Callithrix jacchus: one gene and its partners. The protein of the gene in region 1 purifies or fractionates together with the protein of each later gene. This does not show direct contact. Links are inferred from orthologs where the notes say so. Each region holds a gene or a part of one and is shown in the gene's direction. Other genes may lie near its edges. The genes, in order: PRP4K, USP39, EFTUD2, PNN, ZC3H18, PRPF6 and SART1.

Region 1 (3,500 bases):
CAGTTATTTTTCCAGATCCTCTCCTTTCTCTCACCCTCCAGCCTCTGATGGACCCCAGTGTGTATTGTTCCCCTCTGTGTCCTTGTGTTCTCACCTTTTGAAGTTTTAATCCTCTTCAACTAATAACTTCTGGTGGTTAACATGCAGATTTCACTATGTTATATGTGTTTTTGAAATTTTGAAAAACATACACATTATCGTAGTGATGTGATTAATGCACGCACACACTCTTCCCTGGACCCATTTCTTCACCCTGTTCTGTGGCCTTCAGTTTGGGGCGTGTTCACAACTTGGAGAATTCTAGCTTATCTGCCAGTAACAGCCTGCATTTCATTTTTTTTCTAAATGGGTTTCCTTTATCAACTCTCCTACAGTTGATACCAAGGAGAGATCCTTAAAACTAAAAGCTAAGCATGTAAGGTGTCCTTTATTGGAAACGGTTTGAGCTATTAAAAAGTAAATACTTTGTTCCTTTTTTTTTTGAGGCAAGGTCTTATTCTGTCACCTAGGCTAGAGTGCAGTGGTGCCGTATGGCTCACTGTAACCCTGAACTCCTAGGCCCAAGCAGTTCTCCTGCCTCAGCCCCCCCAGTAACTGGAACTACCTATAGGAACATGCCACTGTGACACTTAATTTTTAAATTTTTTTAGAGATGAGGTTTTGCTATATTGTCCCGTCTGGTCTCAAACTCCTGGGCTCAAGCAGTCCTCCTGTACCCTCCCAAAGTGCTGGGATTATAGGTGTGAGCTCCCATGCTTGGCCAAAATAAATTCTTAAAACAATGGTGATTGAATTAGACTTTTTAGTTGAAGGACTTCTTATCAATAACTAAGCTCTTTAATTCATATTTCTCTTTTTCTTTTTTGTTAATATATTAAAATGTTTCCTTCCAGACAACCACATTAGTAATGAGGTACATTCCATTTTTATGTTTGGTCTGAATTGTTGTATATCTAATGTAACTTGGACTTGAGTAATTACATTGAAATGGTAGGTACATTAAAAATGAATTGTAAATTGTAAATTTGTGTGGCCAATTTCGTGGTTTGCTTTTACCTCAATTTTTTGTTTTTTAATTGTGAAATACATGGTCAAAGAATATGTAAAACATGTTCAATTTAAAAGGTCATTTACAGTTAGCACCTTTGTAACCATTGTGGAGTTAAAGAATAACATCTTTGCCAGTGTCATAGAAGAAGCTCTTGGTTTTAAAGCATACTGCTAAACTAGTATAGGTTTTTACATAAATTTCAGAAATGTTTTCTCTTCTTCATGGGGAAGGAAAAAATAGACCTCAGTGACATGGAGCTGATTTTGTTAATGAAACTCCAAAGCATTTAGCTCGTGACTCCCGGCATCAGTGTGGCTTAAGTATCAGATTCCTCATGACAGGAGTAGAAGTTGTGTAGCAAACTGAAGTGCATATGGGATGGATACCCTGCTGTTATTTAAGGCAGTATAGCCAGCCCAGGAGTTCCACTGATAGATTCTAATTTTATAATAGTTCTGAGGTTTTCTCTGGGTATTGAAACTGCTTAAGTAGCTGAATTAAGTTTTAAGCTGCGCACGGTGGCTCACGCCTGTAATCCCAGCACTTTGGGAGGTGGAGGCGGGTGGATTACGAGGTCAGGAGTTTGAGACCAGCCTGGCCAAGATGGTGAAAACCCGTCTCTACTAAAAATACAAAAGTTAGCTGGGCACAGTGGCACGCATCTATAATCCCAGCTACTCGGGAGGCTGAGGCAGGAGAATTGCTTGAACCTGGGAGGCAGAGGTTGCAGTGAGCCCAGATCGTGCCATTGCACTCCAGCCTGGGTGACAGAGTGAGACTCCATCTAAAAAAAAAAAAAAAAAGTTTTAAAGAACTTTTCTCTTTTAAGATAATTACGTTTCTGATTTCCAAGATGAAGAGAATGATAATCAATGTGGAAGTTAAAAATAATCATTTCTGTTACTATTAATAACTTAATTCTGTATATCATTTATAATAGTCCAATCTCCCCATAGAGACTGCCTAAGGCTATTTAAAATGATATGTTGCTTTGGGGTGGGAGCAGTAGGCCAAGTTCAAGTTCCAACTCGGTATTTGTGTGTGTCTCTTTTGAAGGGGGGAAGGGACTCTGCAATATGAATTATCTTCACTTGTTAACCCTGAACATGCTTCTGACTCATGAGTGGCAGCAGTCATGGGAGCAACTCCAGCCTTTCTCAGCAGATGTCACTATTACTGTGTATGTTGAAGTATTTACAAAGGAAAAAAGAAACAAATGACTAATATAGAGTTCATGTTTATCAGTTTTGCCAGATATATTTAACGTTTTCTTGACTAATACCTTTGTATTTAAGGGTTTTAATATTTTTTAGACTGGAAGCGATTGCTAAATTTAGGATGAGATAGCAAGCTTCGGATGAAGAATGTTTTGTTTTTGTTCAAGTTTAATCTGAATCACCCTTCTGCTTTCATTGCCATTGTAATTCTCTGGCAACTGACAGTTAAGTCTGAGTCCTTAGTAATAAAACTTGACTTTATTCAGGTATTTAGGGTCTTTTTAGAAGATGCTTTGCTTCATAAAATGAGATTTTTTCTCTCAGTACCTCACCCTTTTAAAAATGCAGTTGTTAAAATTAAATATACTTTGTGGTATCTCACGTTTCCTCACTGAAAACAGTTTTTACTCATTGTAATGAATATTTGATATATCTTAACTTTTCATAGTTAGGAAATTGAATTAAAAATAAATAGAAAATGAATTTTTAAATGAGTATCTTTGTTCTCAAAATAAAGCAGTAATTTTTATTTATTTGTATTAATTATTCCAGGCTTGAATTGAATTCCTTTGAAAAAATGTTTTGCAGGTTAATGAATCAAAAACTATTTTAAAGCTTTGCGATTTTGGGTCGGCCTCACATGTTGCGGATAATGACATAACACCTTATCTTGTCAGTAGATTTTATCGTGCTCCTGAAATCAGTAAGTTTCTTAATGTTCTTTGACCTGGGCCATCATATGTGGTGGAAACCGCTTACTTAATATCTAAGCACTGTTTTCCATCACACTTCAGCAGCTGCACGAGTTCATTCATGAGGAAGGGAACCATAGCAAGTTCATCCTCCTCAGGTGGAATGAAGGTAGTTGTGACAGGAGTCTTGATCATGTCGGGCAAGAGTAGCAAAACAGTTGTGGAAAATCCTCGACTTTAGAAGACTGCTCTTGATTATTCAAGGTCTGATTATCACATTTATGGATTGTATGGGACCTTTGTTTTTTCCTGTTGCCTTGGTTGAGGCTGACTAGCACCTCCACCAAAGGCAAAATGAGAAAAGAGAAGAAATACATATTTTCTTGTGCCCTTTCAGTTCCTCCCCAAACCTCCACTTTTTAAGGTTTTTAAGTTTGAGTCTCTATTAAGAATTAGTGGGAACGAACACAAAACTAATTGTCAAACTAAGGCATTAAGATTGTGGTTATAGTCCAAGCTAAGGTAGCCCCTCATTAGTGG
Region 2 (3,500 bases), on another chromosome or scaffold:
ATTGGACATTGTCTCCCTTTGAAAGTAGCATATGGTTATGGGAAGTTCCTTGGCTGTACCTTGTTTGGCTTATGAATTTTTTTTTTTTGTTATTTGTGTATCACCAGGCTCTGTAAATCACTCATTCATTTTGAACACATTTACTTTTTCTTTTATGGACCAGGCCCTGTGATGGAGGATCAAAAGTTGTCCTAAAGGGCAGGCGTGGTAGCTCACACCTGTAATCCCAGCACTTTGGGAGGCCAAGGTGGGTGGATCACCTGAGGTCGGGAGTTTGAGACCAGACTGACCAACATGGAGAAATCCTGTCTCTACTAAAAATAAAAAATTAGCTGGGCATGGTGGCACATGCCTTGTAATCCCAGCTACTTGGGAGGCTGAGGCAGGAGAAGCGCTTGAACCTGAAAGGTGGAGGCTGTGGTGAGCCAAGATTGCACCATTGCACTCCAGTCTGGGCAAAAAGAGCAAAAATCTGTCTCAAAAAAAAAAAAAATTGAAGAGAAATAAAGTAATGATTTACACAAATAATAATAAAGGTACCATGGTGGTATATGGTACAAAGGGAAACTTCTGTGTTCAGTGAGAGCTCTGGGTCTTTTGCTGAAAGAGGCTAGTTTATTCCAGAAATTTAGAAGCTGGAAATATATTTTGGACATGTTTTCCAACCTCATGGAATTTGTCTTTCGCTTTCTGTTTGTGCAGCTATTGTGACTGATGTTTTCCAGGGGTCCATGAGGATCTTCACTAAAAAGCTTCCCCATCCTGATCTGGTGAGTTAGTTGAGCCTGGATCTTGGACTGATTTATATTGCTTGAGGGGCCTTAAGGAAGATGAAGAGATGTTTAGAGAACTGACAAACCTGCTTGCCCTATGAAGAGGCTCAACAAAGCACCTGCCTAGTGGCAGCTCTGACTGGTCCATGTCATGCTAGTGCACTTTTCAGTTTGGGAGTTAGTGGTGGGATGTACTCTGCTGGTTTAAGTGGTCTAGCCAGTAGGTAGTGCTGATTTGTTTTTTCAGAAAGCTCAAATAAGCTTTCTTTATTTTTCTGAGACAGAGGCTCCATCTGTCACCCAGGCTGGAGTACAATGGTGTGATCTCAGCTCACTGCAACCTTTACCTTGCAAGTTCGAGCAATTCTGCCTCGGCCTCCTGAGTAGCTGTGATTACAGGCACTTGCTACCACGTCCGGCTAATTTTGTATTTTTAGTAGTGACAGGGCTTCACCATGTTGGTCTGGGCTGGTCTCGAACTCCTGACCTCAGATGATCTATTCGCTTCGGCCTCCCAAAATGTTGGGATTATAGGCCTGAGCCATTGTGTCTGGCCCAGCTAAGCTTCCTAGATGGTCTTAGAGCTTTTCTTTTTTGAGATGAAGTTTCGCTCTTGTTGGCTAGTCTGGAGTGAAATGGCACGATCTTGGCTCACTGCAGCCTCCACCTCCCAGGTTCAAGCAATTCGCCTGCCTCAGCCTCCTGAGTGACTGGAATTACAGGCCTGCGCCACCATGCCTGGCTAATTTTTGTATTTTTAGTAGAGATGGGGTTTCACCTTGTTGGTCAGGCTGGTCTTGAACTCCTGACCTCAGGTGATCCATCTGCAATTGGCCTCCCAAAGTGCTGGGATTACAGGTGTGAGCCACTGTGCCCGGCCCACTTTTTTTTGTCTTTTTTTTTAATGGATTTTTTTTCTTTTTTGAGATAAGCTCTCATTCTGTCACTCAGGCTGAGTGTAGTGGCATGATCACGGTTCACTGCAGCCTCAACCTCTACAGCTCAAGTGATCCACTCACCTCAGCCTCCGCAGAAGCTGGGACTATAGATGCACACCACCATACGTGGCTAATTATTTTTATTTTAATTTAATTAATTTATTTTGAGATGGAGTTTCACTATTGTTGCCCAGGCTGGAGTGCAATGGCATAATATTGGCTCACTGCAACCTCTGCCTCCAGAGTTCAAGCAATTCTTCTGCCTCAGCCTCCCGCGTAACTGGGATTACAGGCATGTGCCACCATGCCTGGCTAATTTTGTATTTTTAGTAGAGATGGGGTTTCTCCATGTTGGGTCAGGGTGGTCTTGAACTCCCGACCTGTGGTATCTACCCACCTTGGTCTCCCAAAGTGCTGGGATTACGGGCGTCAGCACCCAGCCAATTTTTTATTTTTTGTAGAGATGGAATCTCACTATGTGCCCACGCTGCTCTTGAAGTCCTGGACTCAAGCAGTCTTCTCACCTTGGCCTCCCAAAGTGCTGAGATTATAGGCGTGAGCCACCACACTTGGCCTCAGAGCTTTTTAGATAGTCTGTTATATATGCACAATCTCTTCAAAGAAGGAAACCTGTTCTTAAGTTCATCTAACCACGTGTTGCATGCCAAACTGCCCAATCTCTCAGGCACCTCTCTTTGTTCCTTCGGATGAAGGAAATTTCAGCCTAGCAAAACATCAGTTTTGTATCGGTTGCTATACCACTCACACTCCTTTCCTCTCTTCTTCTTACTCATTTCTAGCCGGCAGAAGAAAAAGAGCAGTTGCTTCACAATGATGAGTACCAGGAGACAATGGTGGAGTCCACTTTTATGTACCTGACACTGGACCTTCCTACTGCCCCCCTCTACAAGGACGAGAAGGAGCAGCTCATCATTCCCCAAGTGCCACTCTTCAACATCCTGGCCAAGTTCAATGGCATCACTGAGAAGGTAGTCCATTAGCAGCCCTGCCCTGCCAATACTTAGACTTGCTCTCTTGACTTTTTCATTTTCTTCCTTTTCTTTTTTTTTGAGATGGAGTCTTGCTCTGTTGCCCAGGCTAGAGTGCAGTGGCACAACTTCAGCTCACTGTATCCTCTGCCTCCCAGGTTCAAGGGATTCTCCTGCCTCAGCCTCCTGAGAAGCTGGGGTTACAGGTGTCCACCACCATGCCCAGCTAATTTTTGTGTTTTTAGTAGAGACGGGGTATCACCATCTTGGCCAGGCTGGTCTCGAATTCCTGACCTTGTGATCCACCCACCTCGGCCTCCCAAAGTGCTGGAATTACAGGCATGAGCCACCATGCCCAGGCTCTTTTTTTGAAACAGAGTTTCACTCTCGTTGCCCAGACTGGAGTACAGTGGTGCGATCTTGGCTCACTGCAACCTCTGCCTTCTGGGTTCAAGCAGTTCTCCTGCCTCAGCCTCTCGAGTAGCTGGGATTACAGGCATCCACCACCACACCTGGCTCATTTTTAGTAGAGATGGTTTCACCATGTTGGCCAGGCTGGTCTCGAACTGACATCAGGTGATCCACCTACCTTGGCCTGCCAAAGTGCTGAGATTACAGGTGTGAGCCACCGCGTCTGGCCCATTTTCATTTTATAAATAAGAATCACTACATGTATGTGATGTGTTTATTATAATGTGTATTGACTTTACTGAGCCTTCCAGACTCTTTGGTACTTCTAGCTGGTCACCCCCGACTCTTAACTTACAGTGCCTCTTCTTTTTATTATTTTTTGAGACAGG
Region 3 (2,568 bases), on another chromosome or scaffold:
AAAAAAACAACAACTCAAGACCACAGGAAATTACACTGAGAGCCCCGAGCTTTTTCTGCTCTGTATAACATTCTTGGTTACTCTTTCTTTGATGGTAACTCTGGGCTGGGATGCATTTGGGAACAGCCAATGGCAGATTGCTTCTTGTCTTTTGGCCTTTGTATAACTAGAGACTCGGCCTTTATTTTTTTGTCGCAGGGGGCACGTGACTCAGGATGCACCCATTCCAGGCTCCCCTCTGTACACCATCAAAGCCTTTATCCCAGCCATCGACTCTTTTGGCTTTGAAACTGATCTCCGGACTCACACCCAGGGACAAGCCTTTTCTCTGTCTGTCTTCCACCATTGGCAGGTGAGAAAACATCGCAGGCTGGCTGGCTGCGTTGGCCTCACACCTCTGCAAGCCTCATCCCCTTCTGTCCTGATCCCCCTCCAAGCCCTAAGTGAGATGTACAGCATCCTAGAGAAGAGTCCTCTTCTGGGGAGCATATATTCAGGGCAACTTGAATCTGTGTCTCTCAGTTTAAAAAAAAAAAAAAAAATAGAGGACCAGCACAGTGGTTCACACCTGTAATCCCAGTACTTTGGGAAGCCAAGGCGGGCAGATCACGAGGTCAGGTGTTCAAGACTAGCCTGGCTACCATGGTAAAACCCTGTCTCTACTAAAAATACAAAAAAAATTTAGCTGGGCACAGTGGTGGGTACCTGTAATCCCAGCTACTCAGGAGGCTGAGGCAGGAGAATCACTTGAACCCAGGAGGCAGAGGTTGCAGTGAGCCAAGATCGCACCACTGCACTCTAGCCTGGGCGACAGAGCAAGAGTCCGTCTCAAAAAATAATAATAATAATAAATTTAAAAATAAAATAGGGACTAACACAGAGAAACCCTGTCTCTACTAAAAATACAAAATTAGCCGGGCATGGTGGTGCATGCCTGTAATCCCAGCTACTCAGGAGGCTGAGGCAGGAGAATTGCCTGAACCCAGGAGGCAGAGGTTGCAGTGAGCCGAGATCATGCCATTGCACTCCAGCCTGGGCAACAAGAGCGAAACTCAGTCTCAAAAAAAATTTTTTTTTTTTCTGTAAAATAAATAAGAATCCTGCTTCTGGGCCCAAATCTTCTGGGGAGTCTGCCTGGGCCATCTGAAATTCCTTTGTCTTTTAGATTGTCCCTGGTGATCCTCTGGACAAGAGCATTGTCATTCGCCCTTTGGAGCCACAGCCGGCTCCTCACCTGGCCCGGGAATTCATGATCAAAACTCGTCGTAGGAAGGTATGTCTTCCTTGGGCCTGTTACCATCCCTCAACCCCCCAGAACTCTCAGAAGTAGGATCTCTATGTCTGTCTTTTGGCCCCTTTTCCTAAAGGACCCTTTTCCAATGTAAACATGTGATCTGTATACTCTTGAGGCAACTAGACCTGGGCCCTAGTCTTGCTGTGGAAGGAGAGCTTTATCCTCCTATATGATAGTACCCTGAAAGCAGGGCTGCTGAAACAACACCACCTACATTCCTGCTACCACTAGCCTCACTGAGCGCAGGTCTTGGGTGGCCTCCCCACTCAGTCTGCCACCACCTCGGGCTTTCTTGTATTTTTCTTGTATTTTTCTGCAGGGCCTCAGTGAAGATGTGAGCATAAGCAAATTCTTCGATGATCCTATGTTGCTGGAACTCGCCAAACAGGATGTTGTGCTCAATTACCCCATGTGAGTGCACGGACTCCTGGCAGCTCCTGCTCCCTACAGTGAGTTGCAACTCCTGCACTTGAAGCTGAGACCTGGTATGACATGGCCTTCGTGTTGTTAGAGTGTCTGGAAGCTGCTGTTGGTGTCTTGAACAACTCACCAACCTCTAACCCAGAGCGCCAGTGAGAGAGGAGCATTTGGCCTCCTGCTTCCTTCTGTGCCCTCTGCCAGGCTCCATTTCCAAGGAAAGAGAGGAGTTTGCTTGGACTCACAGAAAGAGAAGCGGGGATGGAACCCCCCCATCTTTGGTATTTACATGGAATTTTATTTTCTACAAGTTTGACCTTCGCCATGGTTTGCAAGTGAACAGAACATTTTGACCTCTGTCTTGCTCTGTTCCTTTCATCCCCGTCTCCCCTGCCCCATCTGGTCCTGGTGCTTACATTCTGAATATATGTCATCTCCCAAGAGGCTTCACTGCCTCTGCTTCCAGCTGCAGCCTCCTTCCTGCCTGAGTCCCCAGGGAAGCAGCCTGCCTTTTAATTCAGTGTTCTCATGAGTATCAAGGCCCTGTTTTTGCCCCCTTGCTCCCACTCCATGCTGCTTCAGGGTGGGACCTAAGATGGCTTGGGAGTTGTTGGTTCCTGGGATCAGAGGTCTACCCCAGCACCTCAGGAAATTGCTGTCCCGCCCCCCAAGAATCTCCCTTGCCCTAGGGTATGGGGCCAGAGCACTGATTTCCAGCCATTTGCTCTAAGTCCTCTCCCCAGCCACCACCAGTCCCTTACTCTGTTCTCCCCAGTGAAAAAGAGTCTGTTGATTTTCCTCAAAACTGCTTTATTAGAAACATACCAGGGATTGATTTAGGGAAGTCGGACTGCCTT
Region 4 (2,654 bases), on another chromosome or scaffold:
TCCAGCCTGGGCTATGGGGTGAAACTCCATCTCAAAAAAACAACAAAACAAAACTACTTAATCATAAGCCTAAAATAAAGCCAGGTAAAAACTTGGTTTACCAGCCTTACTTAAACATTGTGTTGCAATGTAACAGTTGTTGATATCATAGTTAATAGTGTTGAAATATAGATATGTGAAAAAAAAGCCTCAGTCTCCATTTCCTGAAAGACAAATCACAGTCAGTACCAAGTGCTAAGTTCTAATTAGTTGGTATGCTGAATTGAAAATGTGAAGCGGTTGGGCGCGGTGGCTTACGCGTCTAATCCCAGCACTTTGGGAGGCCGAGGCCAGTGGATCACCTGAGGTCAGGAATTGGGAGACTGGCCAACATAGTGAAACCCCATTTCTACTAAAAATACAGAGTTAGCCATGTGTGGTGGCATGTAATCCCAGCTGTTTTGGAGGCTGAGGCAGGAGAATCACTTGAACCTGAGAGGTGTATGTTGTAGTGAGTGGAGATTTCGCCATTGCACTCCAGCCTGGGCAAGAGGAGCGAAACTCTGTCTCCAAAAAAAAAGAAAAAGTGAAGCATATGCAGATACTTTTTTTTTTTTTAAGACAGCGCCTTGCGTAATCTCGGCTCATTGCAACCTGTGCTTCCTGGGCTCAAGCAGTTCTCCAGCCTCAGCCTCCTGTATAACTGGGACTATAGGCCCAATGCCTGGCAGAAATTCTTTTTTTTTTTTTTTTTTTTTTTTTTTGCAGAGACCCGGTTTCACCATGTTGCCTGGATTAGGCTGAGCTCAAAGCATTTTGCCCACCTTGGCCTTCCAAAGTGCTGGGATGACGACAGGCGTGAGCCAACTTGTTCAGCCTGCAGATACCTTTACATAGTAAAAAAAAAAAAAAAAGAAAAAAAAATTTTGAGATGGAGTTTGTCTCTTCTTTGCCCAGGCTGGACTACAGTGGCGTAATCTCAGCTCACTGCAACCTCAGCCTTCTGTCAGCCTTCCAAGTAGCTGGGATTATAGGCATGTACAACCACGCGTTGCTAATTATTTTGTATATTTAATAAAGATGGGGTTTTACCATGTTGGTCAGACTGGTCTTAAACTCCTGACTTCAGATGATCCACCTGCCTTTGTAATGTTTCTCATAATTGGGATGTGTAATAATAGTTTTTCATTATAATTGAACTGAAATCAAATATACCTTGTCTTGTATCTATTCTAACACATAAGTATTAAAGCAAGATACTTAATTTTTAGCAAAAGCGGCGCCAGGAAATTGAACAAAAACTTGAAGTTCAGGCAGAAGAAGAGAGAAAGCAGGTTGAAAATGAAAGGAGAGAACTGTTTGAAGAGAGGCGTGCTAAACAGACAGAACTGCGACTTTTGGAACAGAAAGTTGAGCTTGCGCAGCTGGTGAGTAATGATACGGAATTCTAAGATTGGTAATCCTTCAGGTTTACAAAAGCACTGACCTTTTACCTTTTCTTTAGCAAGAAGAATGGAATGAACATAATGCGAAAATTATTAAATATATAAGAACTAAGACAAAGCCCCATTTGTTTTATATTCCTGGAAGAATGTGTCCAGCTACCCAAAAACTAATAGAAGAGTCACAGAGAAAAATGAATGGTAAGTACATGAAGAGGTCCGTTGAATTTTTCTTAGTGGGTAAGGTAATACATTCATATACACACATTTGTTTTCTAAAATAATTGTGATTCAGTGATTGATTTGCTGTGTTTGGTTTTTTTTTAAATAAAAGGTATTCTGAGATGCTGATGAGTTGGCAATATAGGAATATTTGTTTTCATGATGGAATTTAATCTGCAAGTTATCTTGTAGGCAGTGCTTATGCATCTGTATTCCTTAAGCATTTGTGTAAGATTACTTTTTTTGTATGCTACACTTAGTGTCCTGATAAAATGCTAATAAGACAAACATGAATATGGACAGTTTCTAGCTGGAACACAGATGGAAGGATAGACACTGCTGAGATGATTTGTCTCTTTGGGATCAAAGATATATATGATTTTATGTCAAAACTGATTCTGTGTTAACAGAAGTTTTTCATCAAACAAAGATTTATCTTCATCAGTTAGAAAATATCTAATTTTGTCCACCACTAATTTCTAGTATGTAGATTTCCCATGGATCTTTGCATGTATAATTTTATGTCAGTTTGTGATTATAATTGCCATAATCTTTTTGTCATCATCACTTTACAAAAACAAAGATGAAGCGTACTAACAATTTGCAACAGGTTGTAAAATTGTGGCTTTGAATTTTCTTAATCAGTAAATTTTACACATGTAAATTTTTATTTTTTAGCTTTGTTTGAAGGTAGACGAATTGAATTTGCAGAACAAATAAATAAAATGGAGGCTAGGCCTAGAAGACAATCAATGAAGGAAAAAGAGCATCAGGTGGTGCGTAATGAAGAACAGAAGGCGGAACAAGAAGAGGGTAAGGTGGTTCAGCGAGAGGAAGAGTTGGAGGAGACAGGTAATCAGCACAATGATGTAGAAATAGAGGAAGCAGGAGAGGAAGAGGAAAAGGAAATAGTGGTTGTGCATAGCGATGCAGAGAAAGAACAGGAGGAGGAAGAACAAAAACAGGAAATGGAGGGTAAGATGGAGGACGAAACTGAGGTAAGGGAAAGTG
Region 5 (3,500 bases), on another chromosome or scaffold:
TGGCCAGAGGGTCAGGTCCTGTGTCCCCCCACCAAACACTAGCCTTGTGGGCCCTCGTCCTGGTGCAGATGGTGCTGTCACTGAGGACCACAGTCTGAGATCCTGACAGGCCAAGGAAGGGGCCAGATGCAGCCCTGTCCTGCAGGTGTTTCTGTGGGAGCCATGCTGATGCCCCGCTGCCAAGAAACCTGTCCCCAGCCGTCCTGCACACACGTGAACATGACACATGCCTCCCAGAGGACCCGCCAGTGGGTGCTGACACCTTCCACACTCCAGTCTGCTCTGGGCAGATGACAGAATAGGTCCAGAACTGAAGTTCAATCTGAGGCCCATACTCGGAAATTTGTGGCCTGTTCCATGGATCTGGGTGGGTCCTCAGTGGCCTTGGGCTGGTGAAGAAACACCCCCAGGCCCTTCCTCACACCTTTGTTCACTCCCCCAGGTCCCGGTCCTTCTCTTCGTCCCCGTCCCCGTCCCCAACACCTTCCCCACATAGACCTTCCATCAGAACCAAGGGGGAGCCGGCCCCACCGCCTGGGAAAGCAGGGTGAGTCCCCGGCCTGTGGGGAGGTCCTGGCAGCCCAGCCTCCAGAGGCTGCAGCTTCTTCCTTCCATCTCTGTCTGTCAATTGCGTTTGGGACCAAAGAGATGAGGTTGCTTCAGGGGTCTGTCCCCGGAGGGTGAATAGGCTGGGGATCACTGGGCACAGCCCCTGTTCTCAAGCTGCCCTTGCACTACAGTGTTCCCCCCAGACCCCTGGGGACACGGCAGCAGCCCCGGGTATTCTCACGGGGTCTGTCTCTCAGCCTGCTCCGTCACCCCCTGGTGCCTGCAGCTCTTGCCTGTTAGAGGGGAGGCTGGAAGGGCTGCTGGGGGCTTTGAAGCCATTCCCAAGTACTCTGTCACTGATCGATGGGGAACCATATCCAGACACGAGCCTCTTACTTAGCGTCACAGGCATGCAGTGTTGTACCCTGAGGTTCAGGTGCATTTAAAGGGGACATGGGCCAGTGGGGCCTCGTCCACCAGCCCTGCCCTGCCCAAGCTTCCCTGTTTCACAGAGAGAAGTCAGTGAAGAAGCCAGCCCCGCCTCCAGCCCCACCACAGGCCACCAAAACCACTGCTCCTGTCCCCGAGCCCACCAAACCAGGAGACCCCCGGGAAGCCAGGAGGAAGGAGCGGCAAGCCAGGACCCCCCCGAGGAGGTGAGCATTCCGGCGTCTGTGTCCTTGGTGCAACCATGATGATGGCACTGGTGGAAATCTGGTGTGGGGGGGTCCGGAGCCAGGTCGTAAGAGGCGCCCCCCAGCAGAGCAGCAGCAGCCAGTGAGCCCTGACCTGGGAACCTGTCCCGCTCCCTCTCTAAGCCTGTTTTTCTGGAGCCTGATGGGGAAAGGACAGCATGGTAGGGATCACCGGCTGTCCATCCACAGCCCCTGTCTGCACTGAGAGGTGCTGTCCCTGAGAGAGTGCATTTTTGAGAAACACTGCCTAAAGGAAAATAGCCCCAGGCCCTTTTATAAGTCGGTGGCAAGGCCAGTCTGGAGCCTCACCTCGCAGGGCTGCTGGTGGGAAGGGGAGGCCGTGCCCGGTGAGCCCAGCTGTTGCTTGTGTTACAGGCGGACGATCAGCGGCAGCGGCAGCGGCAGTGGCAGCAGCTACAGCGGCTCCAGCTCCCGATCCAGGTCATTCCTGTCACCCTGTGCCTCTGTCTCCCTCCCCATCAGGGACAGGAAGTCCCCAGAAGAGGCCAGCCTGTGGGATGGGGAGTCTCCCACAGGCCGGCTGGGGCCAGCTCTGGGGCTCCTCTGGGTCTGAGTCACCCTGGTGCCATGGAAGGCTGTGGTTGGAACTGATGCAGATGATAAAATGGGCCAGGACTCATGTGATAGGGAGACCCCCCCACACACACAGCTTGTGAACTCGAGGGTGCTCAGGTAAGGAGGAGGGGCCTCCACCCTGCTGACTTGATGCCCCATCTCCCTAAGAGAGCACCTGCACCTGGGGAGGAGCCGGCAGCTTCCGGCCCAGCAGAGGCGGAGGCTGGGCCTGCGGGGCCTGTCACACCCCTGAGGGACCGAGGAAGCCAGTAAAAAACATGTAAGAGAATACACGGGAAAGATTTGGGACCAGACGTGGGGCTCATGCCTGTGATCCCAGCGCTTTGGGCAGGAGGGTTGCTGGAGCCTAGGACGTGAAGACCGGCCTGAGCAACATGGTGAGACCATCTCCACAGAAAAAGTTTTTTTTTTTTTTTGAGACAGTTTCATTCTTACTGCCCAGGCCGGAGTGCAATGATGCAATCTCGGCTCACTGCAACCTCTGCCTCCTGGGTTCAAGCGATTCTCCTGCCTCAGGCTCCCAAGTAGCTGGGACTACAGGCGCACACCACCACACCCAGCTAATTTTGTATTTTTAGTGGACATGGGGTTTCATCATGTTGGTGGCTGGTCTCAAACTCCTGACCTCAGGTGATCCGCCCTCCTTGGCTTCCCAAACTGCTGGGCTTATAGGTGTGAGGCACTGTGCCCAGCCCAGAAATGTTCTGTAATTAGCTGGGTATAGTGGTGTGTGCCTACGGTCCCAGCTACTTGGGAGGTCAAGGTTGCCATGCGCTATGATCACACCACTGCATTCTAGCCTGGACGATGGAGTGAGGCCCTCCCAAAACAGGAAAACCGAAAAAGGATTTCCGAGGTTTCGTTTTAAAAGAAGACAGTGTTGAATCTGTCTTTAGATTCCTTACTGAGTAGTTGTCAGACTTTGTGTGTTTGTTTAAATTGTTTTTGGAGAGACATGGTCTTGGTATGTTGTTCAGGCTGGTCTCAAACTCCTGGGGGCTCAAGTGATCCTCCTCCCTTGGTCTCCTAAAGTCCTGGGATTATAGGCGTGAGCCACCATGCCTGGCCTAAAATGTTTTTCTTTTTTCAAGATAGAGTCTTGCTCTGCTGCCCAGGCTGGAGTACAGTGGCACAACCTTAACTCACTGCAGTCTCCGCCTGCTGGCTTCAAGCAATTCTCCTGCCTCAGCTTCCTGAGTAGCTGGAACTACAGGCACGCACCACCATGCCCAGCTAATTTTTGGATTTTTAGTAGAGATGGGGTTTCACCACGTTGGCCAGACTGGTCTCAATCTCTTGACCTCGTGATCCACCCGCCTCGGCCTCCCAAAGTGCTGGGATTACAGGCGTCAGCCGCCGCGCCGGGCCTAAAATGTTTCTTAATAGGTTTGAAATGTTTTAAAGACCTGACTTTTGTAAAAGAAAAAAAATGCATTGTTTCTCTTATCCCTCCCCTTGGGAAACCCCTCGCCTGGCCCACAAATCTCACCCATGTATTCTCAACACCCTCGGGAGACGTGGTAGTGTTTTCCTGAGCAGCAGATGAGCAGGGCGGACTCAGGTGCCCGTCCTGTGTGCTCTGTGTCCACGTTGAGTGTGCACTGGAGGAGCCACAGACCTGCTGTTTCTGTCCGTCTGCCGTGTTCTCCTAAGGCATTC
Region 6 (3,500 bases), on another chromosome or scaffold:
GTCTTTCATGCCCTTGATACCAGAAGAGTAGTTACCAGTTACATTGTAGACCATCCCTCAATTTGGCTTTGTTGGCTGAAGAAATAATTTAGCAAGTATTTCATAAGTAGAGATCGTCTCCATTTCTGCTGGTGGGGAGATATTGGAGGAAAAGCTCACCTCTCTACACATGTTGTTTGGTTCTCAGTTTAATGGCTATGCCGGGAGCCTCTTCTCAAGTGGGCCCTATGAAAAAGATGATGAGGAAGCAGATGCTATCTATGCAGCCCTGGATAAAAGGATGGATGAAAGAAGAAAAGAAAGAAGGTAAAAGAAATTGTTGCCTTTCACAATATTTATCCAACTTTAAAAAAAAAGTTGGCTGGGTGTGGTGGCTCACACCTGTAATCCCAGCACTTTGGGAATCTGAGGTGGGTGGATCACTTCAGATCTGAAGTCGGAGACCAACCTGGCCAACATGACGAAACTCTGTTTCTAATAAAAATACAAAAATTAGCTGGACGTGGTAACGCACGCCTATAATCCCAGCTACTCGGTAGGCTGAGGTGGGAGAATTGCTTGAACCCCGGAGGTGGAGGTTGCAGTGAGCCAGGATTGTGTCACTGCACTGCAGCCTGAGTGACAGAGTGAGACTCCATCTCAAAAAAAAAAAAAAAAATTTTTTTGAGGCCAGGTGTAGTGTCTCGCATGTGTAATCCTAGCACTTTGGGAGGCTGAGGTAGGATGATAGCTTGAGCCCAGGGGTTTGAGACCAGTGTAGGCAACATTAGTGAGACCTCATCTCTACAAATAATTTAAAAATTAGCCAGATGGTGCCTGTAGACCCAGCTGCTTGGATGGCTGAGGTGCAAGGACCGTTTAAGCCCAGGAGGTAAAGGCTGCAGTGAGCCGTGATCATACCACTGCATTCCAGCCTGGTTGACATAGTAAGACCCTGTCTCCAAAAAAAAAAGAAAGTTTCATTTGCAATTGTTTTATACTTGGAGAAAAGTTGCAAAGTACATGTGTCTCTGCTCGGCTTTTAGGCCACGTAAGGGTCTTGTGCTGTGGTAGCAGTGTTTGGATAGGCACTGGGCTGCTGCAGAACAGCCTCAGGGCCTGGGGGCTGGAGTGGAGAGCTTTAAGAATTCTGGGGATTGCTTTTACTATACATCCGTGTTACCATCTTTGAAAAGGGCATACTGACTGTTGATTATAATCTATTATGTGTTGAGTAATTTTCAAACAAATTAAAGATGTCAGCTGACAGATACAAGGTAATAAGATTGAACCATGAAGAAATCCCAAACCTGAACAGACCAGTAGTAAGTAATGAGATCAAAGCTGTAATACAAAGTGTCCTAGCAGAGAAAAATTTCAGGATCTAATTGCTACATTGCTGAATTTTACCAACTATTTGAAGAAGAACTAGTATCAATTCTACTCAAACTAGTCCAAAAAATAGAGGCGAGAATACTTCCAAATTTATTCTGTAAAACCAGTATTACCCTGATACCAAAACCGGACAAAGACACGTTGAAAAAAGAAACCGACAGGTCAGTATTCCTGATGAATGTTAATGCAGAAATCCTCAACAAAAGACAGCAAACTGTATGTGACAACACATTAGAAAGACCATTCATTGGCTGGGCGCAGTGGCTCTTACCTGTAATCCCAGCACTTTGGGAGGCTGAGGCGGGAGGATTGCTTGATACCAGGAATTTGAGATCAGCCTAGGCAAGAGGGTAGTACCCTGTCTCTACAAAAAAATACAAAAATTAGCCAGGCTTTGTGGCATACACCTATAGTCCTAGCTACTCAGGAGGCTGAGGTAGGAGGATTGCTTGAGCCCAGGAGGCAGAAGTTGCAGTGAGCTGAGATTGTACCACCACACTTCAACCTGGACATCAGAGAGAGGTCCTGTCTCAAAAAAAAAAAAAAAAAAAGGAACATACCTCAACACAATAAAAGCCACATACAGCCGGATGCCATGGCTCACACGCCTGTAGTCCCAGCACTTTGGGAAGCCCAGGCAGGCAGATCATTTGAGGTCAGGAGTTCGATACCAGCCTGTCTCTACTAAAAATCCAAAAATTAGCTGGATGTGGCAATACAGGTCTATAATTTCAGCTACTCGGGAGGTGGAGGTTGCAATGAGCCAAGATCACACCACTACATGCCAGCCTGGGCAACAGAGTAAGACTGTGTCACAAAAAAAAAAAAAGAAAAAAAGCCACATGTGATAGGCCCATAGCTAGTATCATACTGAATGGGGAAAAACTGAAAGCCATTTCTCTAAGATCTGGAACACACAAGGATGTCCACTTTGACCACTGTTATTCAACATGGTAGTGAAAGTCCTATCTAGCACAGTCAGATGAGAGATAATAAAGAGCATCCAGATTGGAAAAGAAGAAGTTGAATTATTCTTGTTTGCAGATGATATGATCTTATATTTGGAAAACCCTAAAGACTCCACCAGAAGACTATTGGAGCTGACAGATTAATTAAAGTTGCAGGCTATGTCGTCAGGCATGGTGGCTCATGCTTGTAATCCCAGCATTCTGGGAGGCTGAGGGTGAGTGGATCACCTGAGGTCAGGAGTTTGAGACCAGCCTGGCCTACATAGAGGAACCCTGTCACTATCAAAAACAGAAAAAATTGGACTGGGTATGGTGGCTTATGCTTGTAATCCCAGCATTTTGCAAGGCCAAGGCGGGCGGATCACCTGAGGTCGGGAGTTCGGGAGATCAGCCTGACCAACATGGAGAAACCCTGTCTCTACTAAAACTATAAAAATTAGCTGGGTGTGGTGGTGCATGCCTGTAATTCCAGCTACTTGGGAGGCTGAGACACGAGAATCGCTTGAACCTGGAAGGCAGAGGTTGCAGTGAGCCGAGATTGTGCCACTGTACTCTAGCCTTGGTGACAGAGTGAGGCTCCATCTCAAAAAAAAAAAAAGGTTGTAGGATACAGAATCCACATACAAAAGTCAGTAGCCTTTTTGTCATCAACAGACGACAATCTTAAAAAAATCAAGAAAGTAATTATATTTACAAGACCAGGCATAGTGGCTCACACCTGTAATCCCAGCACTTTGGGAGGCCAAGGTGGGCAGATCACACGGTCAAGAGATCAAGACCATCCTGGCCAACATGGTGAAAGCCCGTCTCTACTAAAAAAATACAAAAATTGGGTGTAGTGGCCCAAGCCTGTAATCCCAGCTATACTCGGGAGGCTGAGGCGGGAGAATCGCTTAAACCTGGGAGGCAGAGGTTGCAATGAGCCAAGATCGTGCCACTGCACTCCAGCCTGGTGACAGAGTGAGACTCCGTCTCAAAAAAAAAAAGATAGAAATTATATTTATAATGGCTACAAATAAAATACTTAGGAATAAACTTAACCAAAGAAGTAAAAGATCCCTACAGTGAAAACTATAAAACATTGATGCAAGAAATTGAAAAGGACACAAAAAAATGGAAACATACTCCATGTTCATGGATTGGAAGAATCAGTGTTTA
Region 7 (3,500 bases), on another chromosome or scaffold:
GCCTGGGTAACAAGAGCGAAACTCCGTCTCAAAAAAAAAGAAAAAAAGCATATCAGCTGGGTGTGGTGGCTCAGGTCTGTAATCCCAGCACTTTGGCAGGCTGAGGCGGGCGGATCACTTGAAGTCAGGGGTTCGAGACCAGCCTGGGCAACATGGTGAATTCCTGTCTCTACTAAAAACACAAAAACTAGCTGGGCGTTGTGGCGTGCACCTGTAGTCCCAGCTACTCAGGAGGCTGAGGCAGGAGAATCCCTTCAACCCAGGAGGCAGAGGTTGCAGTGAGCCAAGATCACACCATTGTGTTCCAGCATGGGTGACAGTGAGACTATCTCAAAAAATAAATAAATATCTGGGTCAACAGAACAAAATCTCATGTAGAAAAAAAAAGAGAACATAAATAAATAAATTAATAGCATCTGCTGAGTTAGATATACCCCCTTTTCTGTTTACGATGAAGTTCATTAAAAAATAAGTGTTCCAGGATGTCCTGGAATATATATGTATTTTTGAGACAGGGTCTTGCTCTGTTGCCCGGCTGGAGTGCAGTGGCAAGATCACGGCCTACCACAGCCTGACCTCCAGGCTTAAGGGATCCTCCCACTCCAGCCTCCCAAGTAGCTGAGACTGCAGGCATACACCACCATGCCTGGTTGATGTTTATAGTTTTTGTAGAGATGGGGTTTCACCTTACTGTCTAGGCTGGTCTTGAACTTCTGGGCTCAAGTGATCCTCCAGCCTTGGCTTCCTAAAGTGCTAGGATTATAGATGTGAGCCACTGCAGCTGGCCCCTGGAAGAATTTTTTTTTTTGAGACAGGGTTTCACTCTGTTGCCCACACTTTGAGTGCAGTGCTATGATCTTGGCTCACTGCAGTCTCGATCTCCCAGACTCAAGCAGTCCTCCCACCTCAGCCTCCCAAGTAGCTGGGACTATAAGCTAATTTTTATATTTTTTTGTAGAGATGGGATTTGGGCATGTTGCCCAGGCTGGTCTCAAACTCCCGAACTCAGACAATCCACTCGCCTCAGGAGATTTTTTTAAAATGAAAGAGGGTGCAGAAGTGGACATGGCAATCGAGGCTTCACTGAGGAGTTTGCTGTCAGGGCTTCGGGGTTGAGGGAGGAGTTTTTTAAAGAGGAGAGCTAGTGGGCAAGTGTGTGTGTGGCCGGGCATCTACAAAAGGAGGGAAAGCAGAGGGTGCTGGTGCCCATGTGGGGGTCCTGGATTTAGTGCTGGTAGCACGAGTGGGTTCTCTTAGCATGTCATGGCACCTGCTTTCTTGGTGAAGTGGGAAGCAAGAAGCTGGGCTGTGGGAAGTCAAAAGAGTGGGCCACCTCACCGCCCTGTGGGTTCTAGAAGTGCTGCCTACAGAGTCTTGAAACTGGAGTTTGTTGTGGGAGGGGCTGGTGGCAGGAGGGACCCTGGAGGAAGGTGCTTGAGGCTGAGGTAGTGTGCCAGGGGCTTTGGAGCAGGGTTGGCACAGGCCTGGTCAGGAAGGCCCTGTAGGGTGTTGGGTGTTCATTCAAAGGGCAGCCAAACCCATTGATGGGAGCAGAAGAGTGACCCCAGTGAAATAGGTGTAGAGTGGAGTCAGGAGGCAGAGATCAGCCAGGACCCACATGGGCTGTGGGTGTGGCCTGTCTTGCTGCTGCCAGGGAGGACCCTTGGGTTCCTGGGTCTCAATGGCATCACCCCAGAAACTGCTGGGTTTGCCCACAGCTACTCCCTCCCCCAGGTGGTGGAGATTGTGAAGAAGCTGGAGTCTCGCCAGCGGGGCTGGGAGGAGGATGAGGATCCTGAGCGAAAGGGGGCCATTGTGTTCAACGCCACATCTGAGTTCTGCCGCACCTTGGGGGAGATCCCCACCTACGGGCTGGCCGGCAACCGCGAGGAGCAGGAGGAGCTCATGGTGCGTCTGGGGCAGCCCCACCCTGGGCTTCGCTTGGCTGGGTAGGCTGGCTGGGGGCTGGGGGCTGGGCTGACCCTGGTCTTTTGTGCCCCAGGACTTTGAACAGGACGAAGAGCGCTCGGCCAACGGCGGCTCTGAATCTGATGGGGAGGAGAACATTGGCTGGAGTACGGTGAACCTGGACGAGGAGAAGCAGCAGCAGGATGTGAGGGCCGCACTGTCACCACGGGGTGGGGGGCGGGGGCATGGGGGCGGGAGGGTCGAGCTGGAGATGAGTGCCCAGGCACGTTACTCGGTGTCCTCAGCCTCCTCATCACAGTGCGCTCTGCATTCCTCCCAGCGTGATCTGAGTATACCTGAGGAAATGAAGTTAAACGCTGTGGCTGGTGCCCGGCAGGGGGTGACTGATGGGTGGGGGTGAGAAGAGGCGGTGTGGCTTGCTAACCAACCCTGCCACGTGCCCCCCAGTTCTCTGCTTCCTCCACCACCATCCTGGACGAGGAGCCGATCGTGAATAGGGGGCTGGCAGCTGCCCTGCTCCTGTGTCAGAACAAAGGTAGGGAACTCAGGGCAGCTGTGGCTTGGGTGGACTTGGGCACTTGGGCAGGAAAAGGGCTTGTGGGGGCTTCGGTGCAGCAGGTGCAGGCAGGGTTGCCTCCGTCCCCTCTGTTGCCTCTTTCATTCCCTATGCTGGAGCCAGCTGCCCGGCCCAGAGCCGCTCCTTCTCCCCCTGGCATCTGTCTCTGCCTTACGAGGCTCCATATCTGCTCCAGGAAGGAGAGGGGAGTTGAAACTGTTACAGCTGTAGCAGAGAAGCCCTGATGTTAGGACCCCAGCTCTGCCATTTCCTTGGCCAGTGGCCCGTGGCAAGGGGCTCATTTCTGCATCTTTGCTTTAGAATTGGCCTGATGGCTTTCCAGAGGCAAGGAGAGGGAGGTGCACCCCACAGGGCCCATTTCACTTTCTCAGGAGGCCCTGGAGCGGCGCCTCTCACAGGGTTGGGCAGCCTGGAGTCTCACAACCCCTCCATCCCTAGGGCTACTGGAGACCACAGTGCAGAAGGTGGCCCGAGTGAAGGCCCCCAACAAGTCTCTGCCCTCAGCCGTGTACTGCATCGAGGATAAGATGTGAGTGTGCAGGGCTGGGGTCCTCACATCGAGGATAAGATGTGAGTGTGCAGGGCTGGGGTCCTCACATCGAGGATAAGATGTGAGTGTGCAGGGCTGGGGTCCTCACATCGAGGGTAAGATGTGAGTGTGCAGGGCTGGGGTCCTCACATCGAGGGTAAGATGTGAGTGTGCAGGGCTGGGGTCCTCACATCGAGGGTAAGATGTGAGTGTGCAGGGCTGGGGTCCTCACATCGAGGGTAAGATGTGAGTGTGCAGGGCTGGGGTCCTCACATCGAGGGTAAGATGTGAGTGTGCAGGGCTGGGGTCCTCACATCGAGGATAAGATGTGAGTGTGCAGGGCTGGGGTCCTCACATCGAGGATAAGATGTGAGTGTGCAGGGCTGGGGTCCTCACATCGAGGGTAAGATGTGAGTGTGCAGGGCTGGGGTCCTCACATCGAGGGTAAGATGTGAGTGTGCAGGG

The links.
Region 2: the proteins of PRP4K (region 1) and USP39 purify together in Homo sapiens (affinity purification with mass spectrometry; 3 studies listed by BioGRID and IntAct, with this or other methods). This does not show direct contact. The link is inferred for Callithrix jacchus from reciprocal best matches to the Homo sapiens genes PRP4K and USP39.
Region 3: the proteins of PRP4K (region 1) and EFTUD2 purify together in Homo sapiens (affinity purification with mass spectrometry; 3 studies listed by BioGRID and IntAct, with this or other methods). This does not show direct contact. The link is inferred for Callithrix jacchus from reciprocal best matches to the Homo sapiens genes PRP4K and EFTUD2.
Region 4: the proteins of PRP4K (region 1) and PNN purify together in Homo sapiens (affinity purification with mass spectrometry; 5 studies listed by BioGRID and IntAct, counting the BioPlex papers as one, with this or other methods). This does not show direct contact. The link is inferred for Callithrix jacchus from reciprocal best matches to the Homo sapiens genes PRP4K and PNN.
Region 5: the proteins of PRP4K (region 1) and ZC3H18 purify together in Homo sapiens (co-immunoprecipitation; 4 studies listed by BioGRID and IntAct, counting the BioPlex papers as one, with this or other methods). This does not show direct contact. The link is inferred for Callithrix jacchus from reciprocal best matches to the Homo sapiens genes PRP4K and ZC3H18.
Region 6: the proteins of PRP4K (region 1) and PRPF6 purify together in Homo sapiens (affinity purification with mass spectrometry; 3 studies listed by BioGRID and IntAct, with this or other methods). This does not show direct contact. The link is inferred for Callithrix jacchus from reciprocal best matches to the Homo sapiens genes PRP4K and PRPF6.
Region 7: the proteins of PRP4K (region 1) and SART1 purify together in Homo sapiens (affinity purification with mass spectrometry; 3 studies listed by BioGRID and IntAct, with this or other methods). This does not show direct contact. The link is inferred for Callithrix jacchus from reciprocal best matches to the Homo sapiens genes PRP4K and SART1.

Annotation. Positions count from the first base shown.
Region 1 is NC_133505.1:26,495,837-26,499,336, reverse strand, and holds part of PRP4K (serine/threonine-protein kinase PRP4 homolog), read left to right. Parts: intron 1-2,107; exon of another isoform or gene 2,108-2,231; intron 2,232-2,856; coding exon 2,857-2,971; intron 2,972-3,062; exon of another isoform or gene 3,063-3,224; intron 3,225-3,500. UniProt on the Homo sapiens protein: Serine/threonine kinase involved in spliceosomal assembly as well as mitosis and signaling regulation. Connects chromatin mediated regulation of transcription and pre-mRNA splicing.
Region 2 is NC_133515.1:27,386,994-27,390,493, reverse strand, and holds part of USP39 (ubiquitin carboxyl-terminal hydrolase 39), read left to right. Parts: intron 1-702; coding exon 703-770; intron 771-2,511; coding exon 2,512-2,700; intron 2,701-3,500.
Region 3 is NC_133506.1:85,259,620-85,262,187, reverse strand, and holds the end of EFTUD2 (116 kDa U5 small nuclear ribonucleoprotein component), read left to right. Parts: intron 1-198; coding exon 199-352; intron 353-1,165; coding exon 1,166-1,273; intron 1,274-1,613; coding exon 1,614-1,709; 3' UTR 1,710-2,068; downstream 2,069-2,568. UniProt on the Homo sapiens protein: Required for pre-mRNA splicing as component of the spliceosome, including pre-catalytic, catalytic and post-catalytic spliceosomal complexes. Component of the U5 snRNP and the U4/U6-U5 tri-snRNP complex, a building block of the spliceosome.
Region 4 is NC_133509.1:73,856,293-73,858,946, forward strand, and holds part of PNN (pinin), read left to right. Parts: intron 1-1,250; coding exon 1,251-1,406; intron 1,407-1,483; coding exon 1,484-1,622; intron 1,623-2,321; coding exon 2,322-2,654. UniProt on the Homo sapiens protein: Transcriptional activator binding to the E-box 1 core sequence of the E-cadherin promoter gene; the core-binding sequence is 5'CAGGTG-3'. Capable of reversing CTBP1-mediated transcription repression.
Region 5 is NC_133521.1:46,286,006-46,289,505, forward strand, and holds part of ZC3H18 (zinc finger CCCH domain-containing protein 18), read left to right. Parts: intron 1-442; coding exon 443-547; intron 548-1,061; coding exon 1,062-1,205; intron 1,206-1,619; coding exon 1,620-1,685; intron 1,686-3,500.
Region 6 is NC_133506.1:59,458,738-59,462,237, forward strand, and holds part of PRPF6 (pre-mRNA-processing factor 6), read left to right. Parts: intron 1-187; coding exon 188-306; intron 307-3,500. UniProt on the Homo sapiens protein: Involved in pre-mRNA splicing as component of the U4/U6-U5 tri-snRNP complex, one of the building blocks of the spliceosome.
Region 7 is NC_133511.1:123,052,789-123,056,288, forward strand, and holds part of SART1 (U4/U6.U5 tri-snRNP-associated protein 1), read left to right. Parts: intron 1-1,734; coding exon 1,735-1,908; intron 1,909-2,002; coding exon 2,003-2,113; intron 2,114-2,376; coding exon 2,377-2,464; intron 2,465-2,944; coding exon 2,945-3,035; intron 3,036-3,500. UniProt on the Homo sapiens protein: Plays a role in mRNA splicing as a component of the U4/U6-U5 tri-snRNP, one of the building blocks of the spliceosome. May also bind to DNA.